Rhinolophus ferrumequinum: one gene and its partner. Each later gene encodes a partner of the first gene's protein in a complex. Links are inferred from orthologs where the notes say so. Each region holds a gene or a part of one and is shown in the gene's direction. Other genes may lie near its edges. The genes, in order: CACNB3 and CACNG1.

Evidence for each region.
Region 2: CACNB3 (region 1) and CACNG1 share a complex: the UniProt entries of both Homo sapiens proteins name them as parts of the calcium channel complex. The link is inferred for Rhinolophus ferrumequinum from reciprocal best matches to the Homo sapiens genes CACNB3 and CACNG1.

Annotation. Positions count from the first base shown.
Region 1 is NC_046293.1:49,937,734-49,947,595, forward strand, and holds the start of CACNB3 (voltage-dependent L-type calcium channel subunit beta-3), read left to right. Parts: upstream 1-6,198; 5' UTR 6,199-6,869; coding exon 6,870-6,914; intron 6,915-9,862. UniProt on the Homo sapiens protein: Regulatory subunit of the voltage-gated calcium channel that gives rise to L-type calcium currents. Increases CACNA1B peak calcium current and shifts the voltage dependencies of channel activation and inactivation.
Region 2 is NC_046304.1:43,754,977-43,764,930, reverse strand, and holds the start of CACNG1 (voltage-dependent calcium channel gamma-1 subunit), read left to right. Parts: upstream 1-5,471; 5' UTR 5,472-5,672; coding exon 5,673-5,907; intron 5,908-9,954. UniProt on the Homo sapiens protein: Regulatory subunit of the voltage-gated calcium channel that gives rise to L-type calcium currents in skeletal muscle. Regulates channel inactivation kinetics.

The DNA of each region.
Region 1 (9,862 bases):
AGAGCCAAGCATCTCAGCCTTCTCACCTTCCCTCTTTCCCAGGTACCAGAGAACCCCCAATCCACAGAGCAGTGACACTGCCTGCCCCAGAGTGGGCAAGAGATGGGTCTTGAAACCGTAACTGAGAGCCCAGTGCCTCCAGAGAGGCCTGGTGTGGGAAGGAAGGTACAATCTTGTGGGGCATTGTCAGCAAGAAGCTCTTCAGGCATATTTATAGCAAATGCTGCGTCAGGGGATGGAGCCTGAAAGTGCCTAGAAGGATCAAATATCACCATGGGCCCAGAGGCAGAGCCCCAAAAAAAAAAAAAAAAAAAAAAAAAAGAGAGAGAGAGATCGCAGCAGGAGAGATTGAGGTTTGATGTTGGAGGAACTTCCCCAAAGTAATATCTGGAGTTGGCAATGGGGATTCCCTGTGGAAGCTATTTCCAAGCTTGCTCAGAAGAGCCGGGGAGAACTTATTTGGTCTCAGTGGAATAGATACAAAGGATGGACATGGTAATTTTTGTTCTCTGTCCTTGTAGTATACAGATTTTCAAATGCTAAGCCACTAAGTACAATCGTGCAGGTTATGCCTTGCTGAGGAGGTTAAGCGGGGATTGAAACCTAACTGTAGAGCTGGTGCAGAGCTGGGTCTACACAAAGACTGGCCCAAAGCGTGAGCAGAGGCCCTGCCAAATATCCTGAGGTCCTGACAACCTGGGGTCTGGGAGGTCAGAGAATAGGGTGAGCAGACCTCCCAGAGAGAGGGAGATCCCAAGAGAGAAGGGATAAAGGCTTCCTGGGAAGCTCTAGGGGCCATATGCTGGCTTAAGGACCTGAAGGGGCCAGCACTAAGGTATGGCTCCCAGAAATGTGTGCAGGCTAGAGGCCCCTCTTAGCAGGGTGACAGATACTGTAAGGTCAGCAGGAGATGGAGACCTGAGTGAGAAAATGCAGGGAGGAAAAGGGTGTGGGTCCCAGACAGAGCCCAAAGAGGGTTGTTTTTGCCAGTCATCTGGGGGGATCTTGGGGGGCCAGCTAAGAGAGGACAGTTCTGGGGACCTGGGGGCTGGGCTCCCAGCTCTAGCTCTGAGGTTCCTACCTTCTCTTCCTGGCAGAAGGGAGAGGGGTGTGTGATCCAGCAGCTGGAGTGAAAATGAGAAAAAGTGAAGGTTGCAGAGCTGCCTCTATTCACCTCAGATTCCCTCTGATAGGTTCAGAGAGAAGTCATTGATATTTCTATTTTAAAGAAAGGAGTGGAGAGAGATGGTGTTCTAGGCTGTAGGTTCTCAAAGAGTGGAGGGAAGGAAGGAGGGAGGGAGAAGCCAGGGACAATTGCTTGACTTGGCCAGCACCCCCCACCCCACCCCCCTTCTCCTATGGAAACTAAAGCTGCCCCAAGGCCCAGAAGAGCTAGTCCATTAGCTGTGGTCAGCGGGGGAGTATGGGGGAGGGAGGGCTCTCTCCCTTCAGGTCTTAATGCCAAATGAAAGGGAACGCTTCTGCTCCCTCTATTAGAGCCAAAAAAAAAAAAAAAAAAACCAAACAACAAAAAACAAACATAAAAACCTCTATGCACATTTTTACAAAAACATACACAACCTCTATGTCTCGTCTGAATAGTTGAAGCTGAGTGACTTGGGGGTAGGTAGGTGGTAGGGGAATCCTTGGACTCACTGGACTACACCACAGAGGGAGGGAAGTGACTTCCCAAAGCGCTTTCCCGGTTAAGTCCAGCTTGAGGAGGAGCTGGGGGTGGAGAGGAGAATTAATTCTCCCCCAATTTAGCTCCCTCTGGAATGAGGGCAATTGGAGGATCAGCTAAACACAGAGGGAGGGATGTCTTCCAAGATCCCCAGGGTATAGGAGGATTGAGGGGAGGGATACCAGGAACCACCCGGGCAAGGGAGTTAAAAGGGCGAGGAGGGCAGTGAAGCGCCCTGGACCTGAAAGGAAAGAGTTCTAGCTGGTGCTAAGGAGAAGTTGGGGACCCGGGTCATTCAGCTTCAGGGTGTGTCCGTTTCCACAAGGGGATCTACGACACCCTCCCGGCCCCCTAGCCGTCCTCTTTGGTATGGAGAAGAGTCCAGCATCGGGGTGCTGGGGGTGTGGAGGAACCAATGAGAGGCTGATCCGTTCAGAGGGTGCAGGGAGAGAGCTGGCTGGGGATACACCCCTGCTCCCCCCTTCCCCCGCCAGAACTTGGGCTTGTCCTGTTTGACGTGCCCGCCGAAGGGGGCGGGAGGGGTACCGACCCGAGGAGCCGTCCCACGACTGTGTACTCCCGGCCGCCCGGCCTGGCCCTACCGGGACGCTGCCAGGCTCAGCCTTGTCGCCTCTGGAGACCAGGATGGAGGTAGGAGGGATCTAGAGCTCCAGGGGGACCAAGTATCTAAAAAGAGCCCCACAGGAGTGGGAATAGAGTGCAGCCTGGAGTCTCCATACTAGGGGTCTGGAAATGGGACCGCAGCTCCTGGAAAGACGCGAGGGAGAGAGGTTTATCCCGGGCTTCGGTGGGGGTCGGGCTCGGAGCTGCGCACCCTCTGCTCCGGCCAGGGCAGCGCCTCCTACTGGTAGGGCCGAACTCCTGCCTGCGGACAGAAAGGACCCCCGGGCCGGTGCCGCCACCTGGAGGGCTTGTGCCGCCACCCGGCTAGTGAGTCCAGGGGGCGCTGCAGCCGGTGGGGGAGGAGCCGCCAAGCCTCACTCTTTGCCTTCACAGGCTGAGTCCCGCGGCGCTAGCACCTAGGAGAGAGCAGTGACGGTAGAGATTCCCCAGGCGCCGGGCGCGTCCTGGTTAGACTGTCTCCAATTCGATCCCGCAGGAGCCACCGGGTTTGGGCCTGGGACGGCGGATGGACGTGGCTTCCCCGAAATCCAGAGGGGGCGCCTTGACGCTGGGGCTAGCTAGCAGTACATGAGCGTTCTTTTTCGATCCATTCCTCTGCTGAGGTCGGTCGGAGCCGCCACCGGGACCAGGGTGCTTTCCTTTCTCGGGCGCTGGAGGCTGGGCGTGGGAGCACCGAGCTGGGGTCAGGGGATCAGAACCTTCTGACCGAAGCTCCAGAGTCGGGCAGCCCTTGAGCTACTCACGCCCTTCTGCCTGCGGCGGTGGGAATTCCTGAGTCCCTTTTCTGGGGAGGGGATAGAGGAAGAAGTGAGGGTGGGCAGGCGGAAAAGGGATGAGAGCTTTATGGATGGAAGGACAGTGGGAGGCAACCCGATAAACAGAGAACAGGAACCGTAGAGAGGAAGAAGATGAGACGGAAATGGAGAGAGCAGGACTGAAAGGCGACGGGAGAGGGCGAGAGTGACAGAGAAGGCGAGAAAGGGAGAGAGGGAGGAAGGGAGGGAAGAGGAAAGGGGGAGGGAACCTGGAGAGAGGGAAGGGAGCAGGCGGTGGAGCCAGGCGGGCGTGGGGCGAGGCCAGGCGTACAGGCAGCAGCCCTTGTGCAGAGCTGCGGCCGGGTCCTGCTCCCGCCTCGGAGCCCCTGGCCCCGGGGAGGGGGAGAGGCCGCTAGTCCGGTCTATGTCTTTTTCTGACTCCAGTGCAACCTTCCTGCTGAATGAGGTAAACGGGGGGGGGGGGCCCCTCCCCAGGGGTGGGAGAAAAGCCCCACTCCAAGCTAGGAAAAGGGCCGTATTTGGGGGAGACTGCAGTGATGGAGAGGGAGGGAAACCAAAGGTGAGGCTAAGGGTGAATGAGGGGGTAAGAAAAAAAGGAGCAGACAGAGCTGGCAGCCTCGAAGCACTGGGACTGGGATAGGAGAGGACTGACTGGGGAGCTAGAAAAGAGGACAGAGAGAGGAGGGCTCTGCCAAACTCCCCCCACCCAACCCTCCCCAGGTTCCCTGGGGGCAGCCTTGCAGCTAGAACATTGGGATATTTGGTTTGGTCCAGATCTTATAGACTGCTGTGGAGGACTTCCCAGAGGTCCTAGCTCCTGCCTCAGTTTCCTCATTCAATGATCAGGGACTGGAATCTGCTCCGCTTCTTGGTACACTTATAGGAGAAGCTAGAAAGTATTCTAGAGGTTCCCAAAACTCCAACTCCCAAACCTGGTTATTCAGGCTTTCCTCCTATGTCCTGCTTCCTTGCCTTGGGTACCTGCTAGCTGCCAGTCTAACAGCTCTCTCCTAATAAGAGGAGGGAAGGAGGAATCCTCTCCTGGAATCCGTTTTTCTTTTCCTTTTTTTTTCCTCAGCTCTCTTCCCTTATGCTCAGTCATGGGAAAGAAAAGGGGTTAGGGGCCACAAGACACTGACAGGCACATGTCTTTTTACAGGACAGAAAGTCACTAGGTTGGCATGAAAACTGGAGTAGACAGGTGTGGGTGAGGTGAGAAGTGGAAGGGGGTATTGAGTAGCAACTCAGAGATAAGGGAGAGAGAGAGGCTCTGAAGCCGTGTGAGACCCAGGGGATGGACCCAGGTAAGAGGAACTTGAACCTATCTCCTGGGGGTGGTTGGCATAGCAACTCATGCTTCAGATGCTTCAGGAGGGAGACCAAAGGAGACTTAGACACCATTGTCCTGTATGGGGATGCTGTCTTTACAACAAGTTGTGTGAGGAAGGAATGAAGCTCATAGCAGATCCACTGTTACCTACAGTCCCTGGGATGCCCTGGTGGTGGGGATTCCCAAAAGGAGAGGCCAGGAGAGTGGATTCAAAGATGGGGAGAGAAGCAGATGCCTCAGCAGCTGTCTTCTTCATTAGAGTTACCTCCCAGGAGAGGGCACGTTGAGGGTCATATTCTCTTACACCTCATGCCTTCTTTTCGCCCCTCTGGAAGAACGGAAGGAATTGAAGAGGCAGAGAATAAAAAAGGAGCATATAGGGATTCTGAGGAACTGGGAAAGGAAACAAAAGTGAGAAGACAGCGTGTCTGGGAACTTCCAAGACAGAAGAGTCCAATATATGACCAACCTCCAAATGATGCTGGACTCAGGAGAGGGAACTGGGAAAGCGGACTGCCTCTCCCAGTAGTGATTGGTCCCCTCAGCCATTGGGGCTCCAACAAAATTGTTTGCCAGATCCAGCAGGAAGAAGAGGCTGTGCAGGGCTGAACTACACCACTCACAGGGTTAGACAGACTGAAGGCAGACTAAAGACGGTCTTAAGAGTAGGCCCTTTCTCTCTTTTTCTTGCCAACAGAACAAGTGACATAAGTAGGAAGCCAGTTGGTTTGGATGGTCTTTCTCTCCCATGAACAGTGCTTTCTCCCATAGGTCTCATCAAACCCTGTCAGTTTTGGTTTTCTAATTCCACTGTAGCCCAGGAATGTAAAGGGATGAGTAGATTCTTGATTCACCCTCCTAGGGGTGAAAAACTGGGAATGGAGAAGGATTGAGCTTCGAAGTTCTCCAGGTGGTAACCTTCTGTCATCTCACATCCCCCTCTAGGTGGTGGGTGCGAGGGGGGCCCATAGGCAGTCAAAATTCAAAGGAATACTTTTGCTCTGGAGATGGAAAAAAAGGAGGGAGCTCCAATAGGTGGATCTTTGGGGAAATTGGCTCAAAATAAGGGCTGCTGCTGCTCTGTCTCTAACCTCAAGTCTCAATGCTCCTTTAAAGGAGACTGACTGGTGCAGAGTGGTACCTGTGGCTACAACGGGGATACCGGCCACTCCAACCCCATCCTTTTGCTAAGGAGAAAATCTGGCCTTAAGCTAATGACTCTGGCCAGATTTGTCCTTCCCCCTCCCGACCCCAGTCTGTCCAGGACCCCACCTTCTGTCACAGCCACAATCCCCCTACCTCCACCTTCTGGTTTCTTTCCCGGTCCCTTAGGCTCACCTAAGACAGCCCCTCCCTGTCCCAATTCCCACGGGTGCCTTGGCAATGCCTGGCACAGTCTTCGGCGAGGAAGTGAGTAAGGGAACCCCCCATCCTGGCCAGACTAGGATGAAATCTGCCTGCGCACCAGGTGTAGGGCGGCCGGACCCAAAACCTGCCCTTTTGCACGGGTTGGGCGACACGGCCCCTTGCTGCAGGGTGCAATGAGAGGGCCGAGCACCTGGTGTGGCAGGAGCTACTTTCGTGGCATTGACGTGGAGTCGCCAAACCCATTCCTCCCCAGTGCCATTACGGGGTTCGCTTTTGGAGTCTCAGGGACCGCCAGGGCCCAGACACGCCTCCCGCTCACCTGGGGCCCCTCCCCCGTCTGCGCCTGCCCCAGCCCCGCCTCTTCTGTCTCCCCATTTTCCTGTCTCCCCCGCCTGTCTCCTGCCTCTATCTCTCCTTTCTCCCTCTTCTGCCTCCCAATAACCTGCGCCCGCTTCTTTCTCGGCTCGGGTCTCCTTTCCCTCCGCCTCTCCGCTCCCCCTCCCCTCCACCGCTCCAGCCCTTTGTTTCCCGGCGGAGTATTTCCTGGGTTGCCGAGCGTCTCAGTCTCCGCATCTCTCCTCGCCCCGCCTTCTCCCAGCCTGGATCCGCCCGCCCTGTCTCTCCTCCCCTTCCTCCCCGCCGCCCCTCGGGTCCGTAGGTGCTGGGGGACCCACCTTCTACCCAGCTCCCGTCCGCTACCCTCTCCCAGCCGGGTCTCGGGCTCCCCGGGTGGCGGGCGCCCCAGTCGCCGCCCCCGCCTGCTCCCGGGGAGGGGGGTCAGGTGGGCGGGCACTATTGTTGTAGGAGCCAGCGCCAGATTCCTCAGCCGCGCTCGGGGTGGGACTGGCTGGGTTTGGGGGGTGGGGTGGGGGTAAGCGGTGATTTGAGCTCCGAGCAGCTGGTCTTCGCGGCTCGCTCCCTCCTTCGCGCTCTCTGGTTCTGCGCCGCCGCCCGCAGGGCTGCGGGGCTCGGTGGCATCTATCGGGCGCGGCCCGCTGTCCTCGCCCCTGCCTCCAGGCCGCTCCCGCCCCCGGCGCCGCTCGCTTCCCCCCACCCGGACTCCCCCATGTATGACGACTCCTACGTGCCCGGGTTTGAGGACTCGGAGGCGGTGAGTGCCCACGATGAGGGTGGGGGTGGGGAAGTTGGGGTGACACTTGCTCTCCCTTGGACCCTTCTCCCAGTCCAGGACTTTGAAAAAACGTGGCGGGGAAGAGCGTTGCGGGGGGTTGGGGGCGCTCCAGGAAATTGGGGCGATGATTTTCGTGCCGCGGGCTCTTCGGTACCCCAATCCTAGACCAAGGAGCTCGGGGTGTGTGCAGGGAGGGAGTAGTGTGAGGGGAAGGCTCGAGCAAGTGGCTCCAAAGCCCAGAACAGAGGGTAGAGGGAGGAAGGGCTAGAGACTGAGGGAACAGGGGCTTTAGAAAGGGCACACGACATGTCTCAAGTTCCCACAGGTGGATTGATCGGGTCTGAACACAACCGCTTTCAGAGGAGAAGCTGAATTTCTTGGGGAGAGGGACAATCCAGACCTCCCATGACACAAATACAGGACAAATTTAGGGAGCCTGAGAGAACACCAGAGAATCGGGTACCAGCCTCTTCAGACAGAAAGATCACAAAACTTGAAGACCTCCATTATTCCTTCCCCCTTCCATCCTGAGCTTGCCTCATCTCTTCACCCTGCCTTTAGCCCAGCTTCTCTCCCAGGCTGCAAAGTGGGCACCCAGCACATGGGTGGGCCAGCTGACTGAGCCCCATCCTGTCCGTGCCTCCTGCTGAGGCATCCTCAGAACAGCAGGCACCCTGAGCTCCTCTCAGCATGGAGGACCTGGAGCTGAAGCCAGAGGAGCTGAGGGCCTGGGGATGGAGAGGAAGCTCTTTGCTCAGAGAACCAGGCAACCGATAAATATTTAATTCTCCTTTTTGCTTTTATCTCCTGACCCACTGAGACAAATCAGCTCATTAGTCAGTGATTCCCGGAGCTCAGGGAGCATGGAGAGTGACTGGAAGGATGGAGCAAAGATGGGGAGCAGCTTCTCAGTGCCTTCTCTCAAACATCCTGCAAGAAGGCCTCCTTAGAAGAGGACCACTAGATGGCTTGGAAGGGGTCCTTGATAGGTGTGGAGGGTAGAGCACTCCAGGATCGAAAGTGGAGTGTTTGAGTCTTCTCCCATCTCTTGCTGCCCAGCCCAGGATAGATGAGTTCTAGGGCTCAGAATAGGCAGCTATCAGTCCTTTCCTGGGCTCCTGCTGGGCCAATTCCCCATTGGGCCTCTGGGCCTAATTACATGGCAGCTAGAGCAGATGATTTTCAAGGCTCTGGTGGACACCTCTTTGTGACAGTTGAAGAGACAGCTGGCATGGCCCAGGGTGCCAAGGTGAGCTTGAGAACAAACCTTCCTGCTTGGCTGGAGGGCCCTAGAAGATTCTTCCCATCACTGGTAGTAAGGCAAGAGCTGTTTCAAGGGAAAGACTGACATGTGGGTGGCGTTGGGGGCAGCCCGCTAACCCATTGCTCACTTCTCACCCCTCTCTGGGCCCTGGATCACCCTCCCCAACTTCCCTTTCTCTTGCCTGGCTCCTTGCTCTCCCTGAGGCCCCCTCTGAAGCAGTAGGAGGGAGATCAGGCTCTAAATAAAGCCACTGGCTCATCTCCCTCCTCTCCTTCCCCCGTGCCAGGCAAGAGTGGAGCTGCAGCCTGCCCACACACTCACCAAGCAAGGGGGGCACCACTAGGGCACTGTGCCAACTCCTGGCAGCTCCAAAGTACTGAGCCTCTGGCTGCTCTGGCATAGTGGGGTAGGGAAGGCAAGACCCCAGAGTAGGCCTGGAAGGGCAGCCCTGACCTCCCCAAGTGATACCAGAGCATGAAAGATGGTGAACTCTGAGGACTTGGGAATAATAGACAGGGGGTTCCATTCTGAACCTGACTCATTAAACATTTAGGGAGAGATTCTATCCTTCCCATCCTAGAATGAGAGGCCAGGTAACCCAGATACCCCAGGAGGGACATTAAGATGACTAAATTAGGCTGAGAGCCTGGAGAGCCGAGATAAAGGCCAGACTCCTCTTCCAGCACAGGTCAGGGCATCTAAGAGGCATCTGATGGATACTTATCAAAGTGAATGATCATCCGGCCTTACCTCCTGCCTCCTGGCCTGTTGTCCCCTGTTCCCTTCGTTCAGCTGTCTCCTACATCTAAGACCCCTCATACATCTAAGACCCCTGGAAGGAGATCCCACACTCTACTAACAATGCAAAGGTTCTTTCTGGGGCTCAGCACCCTTTATCCTACTGCCAAGCCAGCCTTATTTTCTTCTCAAGAGAGATGAGGAACAGCAGGCAGAATCTCCTCCTCTGTAAAAGGAGACTTTCCCACCTGTGCTGTCTTTGTGTCTTCCGTCTACCCCAGACATTGACTTTAGCTTACGATCTAGAGCCTGGGCAGATATCAAGCTGACCTGCCTTCTTGCCTATGGTGGGACTGGGGCAGAGGGCATGGCGACAGCAGGTGTTTGAATCTGTCTTCTCCACTGACCTCTGGCCTCTGCTGCCTTCTGTAGGTGCTCATGCACCGCGGACTTGAAGGAATGTTCCTCAGGTTGAGAATATCCTAAAACCGCTTCTGTTAATACACACACATTCCCACATGGACCCGAACTAGGCTCCTATTTGTCTCTGCCACTTGGACCTCAGAATTGATGGAAGTGCTACTTCAGGCCTCTGATCATAAAGAGGGGAAACTGAGGCAGAAAACAAAAGCTCCCCTTTTCCCTGGGCTGAGAGGGACACCCAGACATCCTGACTTCTACACTCCTGTCCTAAGATCCAGCTTCCTTTACTCAATTGTACGTCTTTCTCACAGCCTTGAAGGTGAGCTCTGCAACCCTCCAAATGCACCCTCGTTGCCCAAAGACCTGCCAATGGGCAGGACTCAGACACTCTTCTTGGCTAAGGTTACCAAAGACCCCACCCCTACATCCTCAGGGTACTGCTCCCCTGGCTGGGTTGCCGGGCACCAACATGGCCTTCCTCCAGGATAGGCCCCTTGGGGGA
Region 2 (9,954 bases), on another chromosome or scaffold:
TAAAAAACATTATACTTATTTTGTTAATTCTAAAAAGTATTACAGCTTACCTAAAAATACATGAAAAATACAGCACAGTTAAAGAAGAAAACAATGTCAGCCATCATTCTACTACCCACGCCATAAGCACGGTTAACATTTCAGGGTACCCAAATGTGTGTGTGGATACGGCTTAGTCCCCTGTCTCTGTCCACTGTTTTTCATCATGAGAATCTTCCCACCTTTCAATATTCCTCAAAACCATAATCTTTAAGGGCTGCATAAAACAGAGATATCACCATTTATCTAACGTGTCCTATTGCCGGATGTGGCTTATTTGCTCCCTAGATCATAAATGGAATCTGAATGAGAACAAAGTACTGGGATACTCAGGATGCATCCAGTTAAGATCTGACAACTTCTCACTGTGATCTTCTGGTCCAGATTTATGCTAGAGGCTGATGGAAAGATCCCCCTCCAAACACTGTCAGGATCTTGTCTACGTTCTCACCTGGGTGTCTGGGCTCTGGGGATAACAGTCGCCCCTCCCACACTCCCTGCCAGGTGGCTAGGGAGCAACCTCACACCAGGTTCCTCTCAGACGGCCTTACACTTAGCCATCCTCAGCCACACAGAACAGAATTCCTCCCAGTCACAGACTGCATCTGTTAGTAGGGCTGTGTAACAAATTACACCAAACCTTAGTGGCAATAAACGAGTATTAAATATGGTCACAGAGTCTTACCTCTGCCTGATAGAAAGACAGGCTCAGGATGGCTTCTCTCTGCTCCAGAGTGGAGCCTCGGCTGGAAGGCTCAATAGCTAGGAGCTGGCTTCATCTAAAGGCTCGTCTGCGCACATGTCCTGCAGGTGATGCTGGTTAGTGGCAAAGTCCTCAGCCTGACTATGTACACGTGGCTTCTCTGGGTGGCCTGAAGTTCCTCACAGCATGGTGGCTGGGTCCAAGGGCAAGGGTCCCAGAGCAAGAGAGAAAGGTGGCAGTCTCAGAAGTCACATAGCATCACTTCCTCTGTACTTGACGTATTAGAACAGTCAAAAACCTGCCCAAGTTCAAGGGGAGAGGAAATAGGTTCCACCTGTTCATGGGGAGTGACGAGGTTCTGGAAGAACATGTGGGAGCAGAAATGGTGCTGTGGCCACTTTGGGAAGATATAATCTGTCCCCCTTGTCTCTCCAGGACCCTCACCTGGCTCTAGGCTTCTTCTCCACCCTCCAACCTTTCCATCCTCCATCTCCCTCTGGAACTCCACACATCTTAAAATCTCCTTACTGAGGTCTCCCTCCACGTGCTGGGATCAATGAAACTATCCTCTCTTCCAAGGACACTCCTTTCCCCAGTATCCTGGTGAAAGCTGTCCATATTTCTGCTGGGGTTCCCTGCACAGGTTCCCAATGTAATGCTCCTGGCTGCCCAGTCCCAAGAGGTGTGGGGCTGGAAAAGCAGAAAGGGGATCTGAGGGACCTTAGGATCCAGAGGAAGACTGGGGCAGATACACCTGATACAGATATTTTTAAACTTGCAGCTTCCTACAAAACTGCTGGTGCAACCTCAGGAACAGAAGTCTGCAATCAGAGAAGGTCATGAACTCACGTCCTTGGATTTATAATTGCAGGACAGGGGAAGGTGGGGGCGCTGATACCGCCAAACCATCACTCCTCCCCCCTCCTGGGGAAAAGCCTTCTCTGAGGGCCTGGGTAGACCATCCTGAACCCTTTCTCATCACTGTCATTTCCCCAACCCCGTTCCGCCCACACCTTTATGTTCATCAGGAACTTCGCATCTAGCTCAAAGCCCTCTTCTGCTCCCCAAGTCCTACCACCATCAAACTGAGCCACATCAACATCTGTGGGGCCGGCCATTCCAACTCCCTGGCCTCACAGCTCTGCCTTCTCACCTCCCTTGCCCTTCATCTCCAACCTGGATCTTCTCATCAGCCCTGACTGTCCCCCCTGTAATCTTCAGGGCTACGTCCTCCTCTCTGACCGCAACTTCCAGTGCTCCCATTTCCTTCACCACTACAGCTGTTCTCCAACCTCATCAAACCCTTCCGGGCCTTGACCTCTCAATTTCCTCCTAATATGTTGACACCTCCTCGTTGCCGGGCATCCTAACCAGCCCAGACATGGCAAGTCATCATTTAAACTCACCCTTGCCGATGCCCTCAGTTCCCTTGGGCCCTTTTCTTTCTATCTTTTCTCTCCTGAAAGAGCCTCAGCCCTCTTTCAATCTCACCTTCCATCTTCCCCATCCCTGCACCTGAGCTAAGAAGTGATGCCAGAGAACATCAAGCAAGTTCAAAATCGATGCTTGTGGTAGACAGAATAACGGCCCCTAAAATGTCCAAGTCCTAATCCCTGGAACCTGTGACTATGTCACTTGACACGGCTAACGGGACTTTGCAGGTGTGATTACATTAAAGACAGGGAGGTTTTCCTGGATTATCACCTTAACCACACGGGTCTGTAGAAGGGAAAGAAGAGGGAGGCAGGAGAGTCAGAGATGAAGATGCGATGACAGAAGCAGAGGTCAGAGTGATGCGATTAACTGCTTTGCAAATGGAAGGCTTCTGGACAGAGGCACCGGATAGAATTGGAGGCAGCAAGCCTGATGCAACAGAGAGTCCCAGATGAACAGTGACAGGAGGCAGAGGGAGTGGAGTAAAAGGTTGGGACCAATTGGGTGGTGCCTTGCTTTTTTATACAGGATCTTAAGATCAAACACGCAAGGCCATTTCTTAGCCCAATTAAGCCTGAGCTCAAATTAGATCAGCGTATCGCCAAAGAGGGGTTACTGGGCCCCCACCCAGGCGTAACCTGGTCCTAGCTCTGAATGAGGCCCACCTCTGGGAGGTGTTTTCTTTCCCCTAGTTATGTCTGGTCCTTCTTGGGAAAAGATTAGTCACTTGGGATAAATGGAAACGGGTTCATCTGAATGAGGAAAATACAGACAATTACCAAATTTCTCAGTGTGGCACATCTACTTTGAAGATAATGTCCTATCTCAGGAGGCTGCTGTGACAGGCAGGCAGAACTTGGTCGCAGAGGTGACGACAGTGCCTTCCTGGGGTGTCCCTCTGCACCTGGAGGTAAATTAGCCATTAATTCAAGCTGTCCCGGGGCTCCGTGTGGCCTTAAGCTACATAGAAATGTCCTTTGGATCACCCAGTGGAGTAAATTATCTAAGCTTCTATCTCCTTCTTCTTTCCATCCATGAGTCCATCATCCATCCATCAGTCATTCAACAAACATTTATGGAGATCCCATCCTGGGCTCAGACCTAGGGGGCTTCTCTAAGGGGACCCAAAATGAATACATAATACGGTCTCCCCGTCTCTATCTTCCCATCAGAGAAAGCTGATCCATCTGCAGTCTATCGATAATAATAACAGCCATCCTGGATCAGTTGCCTACTGTATTAGTCAGCTCAGGCTCCCATAACAAAATACCACAGGCTGGGTGACCTTAAAAACAGAAATTTATTTCTCACAGCTCTCCCTTCAGTCCTAGATCAGGGTGCCAGCCTGGGTGGGTTCTAGTGAGAGTCTCGGCTTTCAGCTTCTCACTGAGTCCTCACACGGTAGAGAAAAAGAGAGAGAGGAAGCCCCCTGGTGGCTCTTCTTAGAAGGACACTAATCGCATCACGGGGCCCCACCCTCATGACCTCATCTAACCCTAATCACCCACCAAAGGCCCCGTCTCCAGATACCATTACACTGGGGTTTGGGTTTCAACATATGAATGGGGGGGGGGCGGATAATTCAGTCCATAGCACCTACCACAGGCTAAACTGATAAATCCATTATCTCTACTCCTACAGCAGCTCCCCAGCCAGCTGCCATTGCCCTCATTTTATAGATGAGGAAAGGGCAGTTTAGAGAGGTTAATGGCTTGCTGGAAGCCATACAGCTAGAGATTGGCAGAGCGGGGACCTGACCCTGGGGCTGTCCGTTCCATCACTGGCAGGCTGACTCCCAGTCCCTAAGAAGCCATCTTTCCTGATGACCTGGAAAAGGTAGGACCTGTGTGGAGGACGTTGACGTCCCCCAGCCCTGGCTCCCAGCAAATGCTGGAGCCCCCTTCCTGGCCCAGCAAGGCCCTGGGAAGTGCCAAGCGAGCAGCCTGGCAGTGGCTTCCACGAGCAGAAATGGTCTGTTTGAAGGAGCTTTTAGTAAATGAGAGAGAGAAAGGAGACCTGCCTGCAGTGCCTGGCACTGCCAATGCCGTGGGAGATGTACAGCCCGACTACTTCTGAAGGAAGAGACATCAATCTTTCCTGGCTGGGTTGGAGGACTCAGGACCCCTGCATGTGGCACAAACCTGCCCCCCACTGAGGGAAGGTGCAGCCTGGCTGTCTGAGGAACCTGCAATGTGGGTGCAGCTGACACTGCGTGGACCCCGGGTGTCGGGCCCCCACCCGGAGGCCAGGATTTTGAAGCTCAAAGCCCTGGCCAGCTCAGGGGTTTATTTGTGGCTATGCATTAACCTCAGATACACCCCAAAAGAGGCACCTGGTGAACTGAGGAAGAAGAGGCCGAACCCAGGAGGGGTGTAGGGGCCTGGAGACCAGCCTGGGGGTCATGTGGGCAGACAGGCCCTCGGATGGTGGTCCCAAACTTTCACGTCTTCTGCTGCCTCTGCTCACCCATTAGCCTCACAGTAGTCACCCATAAATCAATCTACTTCTGTTCTTTTTTACTTAAATGTATTTATTTTGTAAATGGAAACATAACTGGAAAATCTTTATTACCTACAATTAATAGAGGTAAAACTAAAACAGTAAAACCAAAACAGAACTACAGTCAGGTCCCGCTGGATTCCGTGTCCTCTCCACGCTTTGATTTGCAAGTGTCAGCAAGGTGGTAAAGACTTACTAACCCTGAACGGGGCTTCTCTTCTGGACCAAATAGGAGAGACGGGAGAAGGGAACCAGAAATAATGTTCTCAGGCTGGGCAGTGTCCGGCCACGCCAGGCCCAGGAACCACCTGAAATCTTCCTGCCGTTTGGGGGATGGCATAGGCCTTGAGCTAAAGCTCTTGCCTGAGTAGTGGGCTCCAGAGGCCCTGGCGGGGCGGATCCCCAAGGTGTCCCTAGGCAGGATTGTGGGTCCCCCAGGCCTCCCGGACAAGGACCCACTCACCCTGCCCAGTGTGATAACCGAAAGCTGTGCCACCGTATCTCCCAGGGTCCCCTGCCCTCACCCAGCAGTGCCCTTTCTCCTTCAGGCCAGAGCAGGCAGACTCCACACTGAGTCTCCCTGTTGCTTATGCCTCACTCCCTCCCACCTCAGGTGTCCTGAGCTGCCACTCATTGTAGGTCTCCAGTCACCATCCAGATCCTTCCCTCCTTGCCCCTCCCTGGGGTATTTCTGGCTCCGTGAGAGGAAGACAGCCCTGAAACCCGAGAAGAAGTCATCCTCGGTGACGGTGGCGTGCCTGTCCATGTGCATTAATAGAAGCCTCCCTCAGGCCCCTGTCACGTCTGGGCAGCTGCTCAGCCCCGTCCAGTGTCCCTCTGCCCCAAGGCCAGCCCACTCTGGCTCGGCCAGGCACACTAAACTTAGCTTCCACCTCCTGCACCATCACTGCTGCCACCACCCCAGCCTGGCTGCCACCTGCCCAAGGAGACGCTGCCGCCGGACTCTGTCCAGAGTACACGCTCCTCTGCGACCACCATGTCCCAGATCAAAGCCCTGAAGATCCGCGCCACGCTCTTCTGCATCCTGGTGGGCATCGTGCTGGCCACGGTGGCCGTAGTGACCGACCACTGGGCTGTGCTCAGCCCCCAGGTAGAGCACCACAACACCACCTGCGAGGCGGCCCACTTTGGCCTCTGGCGGATTTGCACCAAGACTATTGTCATGAGCGACAGCAAGGACAAGAGCTGCGGACCCATCACCCTGCCTGGAGGTAACGTACCCAGTCTCTGTCCCCTGTCCCTGCTTCCTGCCCTTTCCCACCCCCCTGGAAAAGTGGCCAGTGGGAAAGAGGGTAGGTTTTCCGGCCTTAGAACAGCCCTCTGCGTCCGGGGAAGAGGATCTGAATTGCATGAGGTTGTGCTGGCCGCCAGAGTTGGGCTGTAAAATGAGGGCATTTGTCTCTCACTATTTCTGTCTTGCTGAGGCTTGGGGCTTTTTACCCAGAGCAGAGGGCTGCTCAGGTGGGACGAGAGGCTCAGGAAAGGAACCATGGACCTGCCAGACTAGGGGCTTCTGGCCCCAGCGGCAGTCACTTTTCTGGGTGTGCCTAGCTCCACTCTCTCCGTGCAAGGACAGGCTAGTGGCCCAATGTCCCCAGGGAAGGGACCTGTGGGGCTGGCTTGTTTCTTCAGGGTATAGAGGCTTCTTTCCCAGCCTCCAGGGTATAGACAGGATCAGCTGCAGAATTTATAGGGCCTGGTGTAAAATGAAAATGCAGGGCTCCTTGTAATTATTTTTAAGAATTTCAAGATGGTGACAGCAGAGCATGAAATCAAGCCTAGGTCCCTTCTGGGTGCAGGGCCTTCAGTGACTGACTACACAGGTCACACATTTGTGAAGCAGGTACCTGGCTATAGATGAGCCACCTGCCTTTTAGTCAGAACTGTCGGTCCTTCCATACATCCTCTCTTGGCTCAGACCCCTTCAGAGTTGGAACGCATTTTCTTCCTCTATAATATAAGCGCATTCCTCGATGTCCTACCATGTGACCAAACGACACGCTGAAGGTGAATTCCTTCTCAATAATACCTGGGTGGGGTATTCTGCAAATTAGGTCTCTTCTGCAAATGTGGAACCCTCTGCACTCATAGCAAATAGAGCACATGCCGAGGGAAGAACGCTGCTTGGAGAATCAGAGTCCAGGGCTCTAGTCATACATTGACCATAACCCCCCCAAATGACGACGGTGGGGTGGGGTGGGGTGACAGCCCATCACAGCCTCTGGCTCCTCCTATGGTGCTTGGGGTCAGCAACATGAAACCCCTTCCAGTGCTTACAAATATCACTCCAAGGCGGCAGGGCATTTGGGTGAGTGTGGTGTCCCACCTGGTTTTCAGAATATTTCCTTCTGTCATTCGACTGGGTGTTCCTTGAAACCTGCCCTTCTAGGAAATCAGTGCCAAGTCTGCACACATCTTGCACTGTATGTGTGGGACAAAGGAACCCAAACCCTGTGCCTCCCTCTTCCCTCCTTCGTCTTCCTTCCCCTCCTGCTGGCTCCAGGGAACTCCTGCCTTGCTTATTCCCACCGGATACTCGCAAGACTTGTAAATACCCAGCTGTCTTGGAAACATTGCGTCCCAGGGCTGAGGGCTTTAAATGACATGAACATGCACTGGAAGGGTATCACATAGCTCAGATGCCCACGCCCCTCGGCCACTGCTGAGCACACCCGTAAACAGATGCATTATCCAGCCAACTCAACTGGGCAGGGAAGGGCAGGGCAGGGTGAGGCAGATTCTCCAGGGACCATGCACGGAAATGCACTGATATGGTCCTGTCCACCTGTCCTTGGAAGCACCTGCCTTTTAAAGTCTGGTGAGTGTACAGAGCAGATGAGGAGGGAGGTGAGCTAAGTCTATACAAGGAAGAGACAGATTGGTGGGAGGTGACCGAATCTGCCACAGGGGACCAACAGGCATGGCTTGGCCTTGAACCTGAGCTGAGTCTATCTCTATGCCTTCTCACTCTGATCCAGAGTGAACCATACTACTCGTGAGCACTGCCTTACCCCAAACAAGCTTCTGACATGCATCCCTGCCTTCTTCCCTTTCCCTTTTCTCTACAATCTTCTTTCTTCCCCAGCCACCCTCCCTGTGCTCTATGGGTTCACTGTTTTCTAGATAGATGAAAAGAGATCACACATGTTCTCTGATTTATTATTAACAACAACGATAATAATAACAACTGCCAACACAGACAGAGCAGTTATCTGGAAAACATTGTTTTCAGTGCTCTATAGATATGAATTACGAGAATATCAGAGAAAAAAAAATGACAGAGTAAGAACCTCCAAAAGTCCTCTCCTCCATAAGAACAATGAGAACATTGGCAAAAATGATCAGCATAAACTTTTTCAGAACTCTGGAAATTAATCAGTCTTGCAGCAATCCAGCAGTGCTTATTCTAGAGAAACGGGTGAACCTCAGTAAGAACAGTGAGCTTTGTGGTGTTTTAACTTGCTCTATTCTTATTTCCACCCCACCCCCAACTCTGTCACAGCGTTGACAACCCCCAGCCTGCAATCACAGTGAAAACCAGCAGCCTGGTAGCCAGCCATCATCAGAGGGGACAGAATGGGCTGGATCTCTTCCAAAGTGTCATTCCCAAAGAGCGGTCATTATTTGATCCGTCTGGTGATTCCCTGCAAGTCCCTGTTTGCAAGGCTGTCTTTATTTGACCTGACTCTGAGCTCCTCCAGGGGAAACAGTCTTTTCCCCGGGCGGGGGGAGTGGGGGGTCATTTGTCAAAAACAATTAGAAACAATTATTTAATATCACAACTGCCTGAGGCAGTAGGTAACAGTTAGGACAAACGATAGGCTAACCAAATAGCTGGAGGATGAGAGATCCACAGGTGGCTTTGAAAAGTTTGGACAGATTCCTTCCTGGGCCTTTAGAAGGCCATGTGTAGGCACAGTGCTACGTGAGAGCGTAGGAAATACCTGAGAAGCCACCCTGAAGCTCTCAGCTCGGACGCATCCTGAAGCTGAACAAGCAGAACGTGAAGGCTAAGGCAGAAATGTAGACTGCTTCACCGACTGCTCTGCTTAGCACGGAGCCCCTCAGTAAAGACTGGGTGATGTATTAGTTCCAGGCATTTTAGGAAACCTCTGTGAGCTGAGCACTAAACTAACTGAGCAGAGATTGTAGTGGCAACACGTGACAAAGAATATAGAATTTACAAAATTAATTCAGAAAAATCACTAAACAAACAACAGGAACAAATGGAAACAGGAACAAACCCTGGGGAAGGGTGGGAATCTGATTTCTAGAGTTTAAACAACTCTGTTGTTTAAATTGTCCAGTTTTAAATTTAAATCTTAAAAAAATTATAAAACATGCAAAGAACTAAAAAGGGATGGCCCACACATAGGGAGAAACAAGCAGCCCATAGATCCTTAAGGAAGCCCAGATATTGGACTTACTAAACAGAGATTTTAAATCACCTGTTTTAGATACATTCAAAGGACTAAAAGAAACCACGTCTAAAGAACTAAAGTAAAAATAAGAATGATGTCTCATAAAACAGAGACTCTTTAGAAAGAGATAGAAATTATTTTTAAGTGACCTAATAGAAATTCTGGAGTTGAGAAGTACACAATAACTGAAATGAAAATGTTCACTAAAGGGGTTCAATAAAAGACCTGAGCAGGCAGAAGAAAGAATCCATGAACTTGAAGATAAGTCAAGTAAGATGAGCGAGTCTGAGGAACAGACAGAAAACAAAGAATGAAGAAAAGAGAACAGAGCCTGAGATACCTGTAGGGCAAAATGCATAACATGTGCACAACGGCAGTCGTCTCCAGGGAAGGACAGGAGAGAAAGAGAGGAGCAGAAAAGATAGATGAAAAATAATGGCCACAGTTTCCCCGAATTTGATGGAAAACATTAATCTACAAACCCATGAAGCTTAATGAACTCCCAGTAGAATAAAATGAAACCTAGACACATCATAATGAAACTGTCAAGGCAGAGAATCTTGTACGAGCAAGAAGTGACTCATCCCATACAAGGGATTCTTAGTAAGAGCAATAGCTGCTCCTTTCCAGACACCATGGAGGCCTGAAGGCAGTGGGATCGCATATACATTAACTCATCTAATCCTCACCAAATTCCCGATGAGGTCCATACTATTATTATTATCCCATCTTACAGATAAAGAAAAGGAGGCACAGAAAAGTTGAGTAATTTGACCAAGCTCACACAATTACGCTGGCAGAGCAGCCAGGATTCAAACCCCTAAAATTCACCTTCTG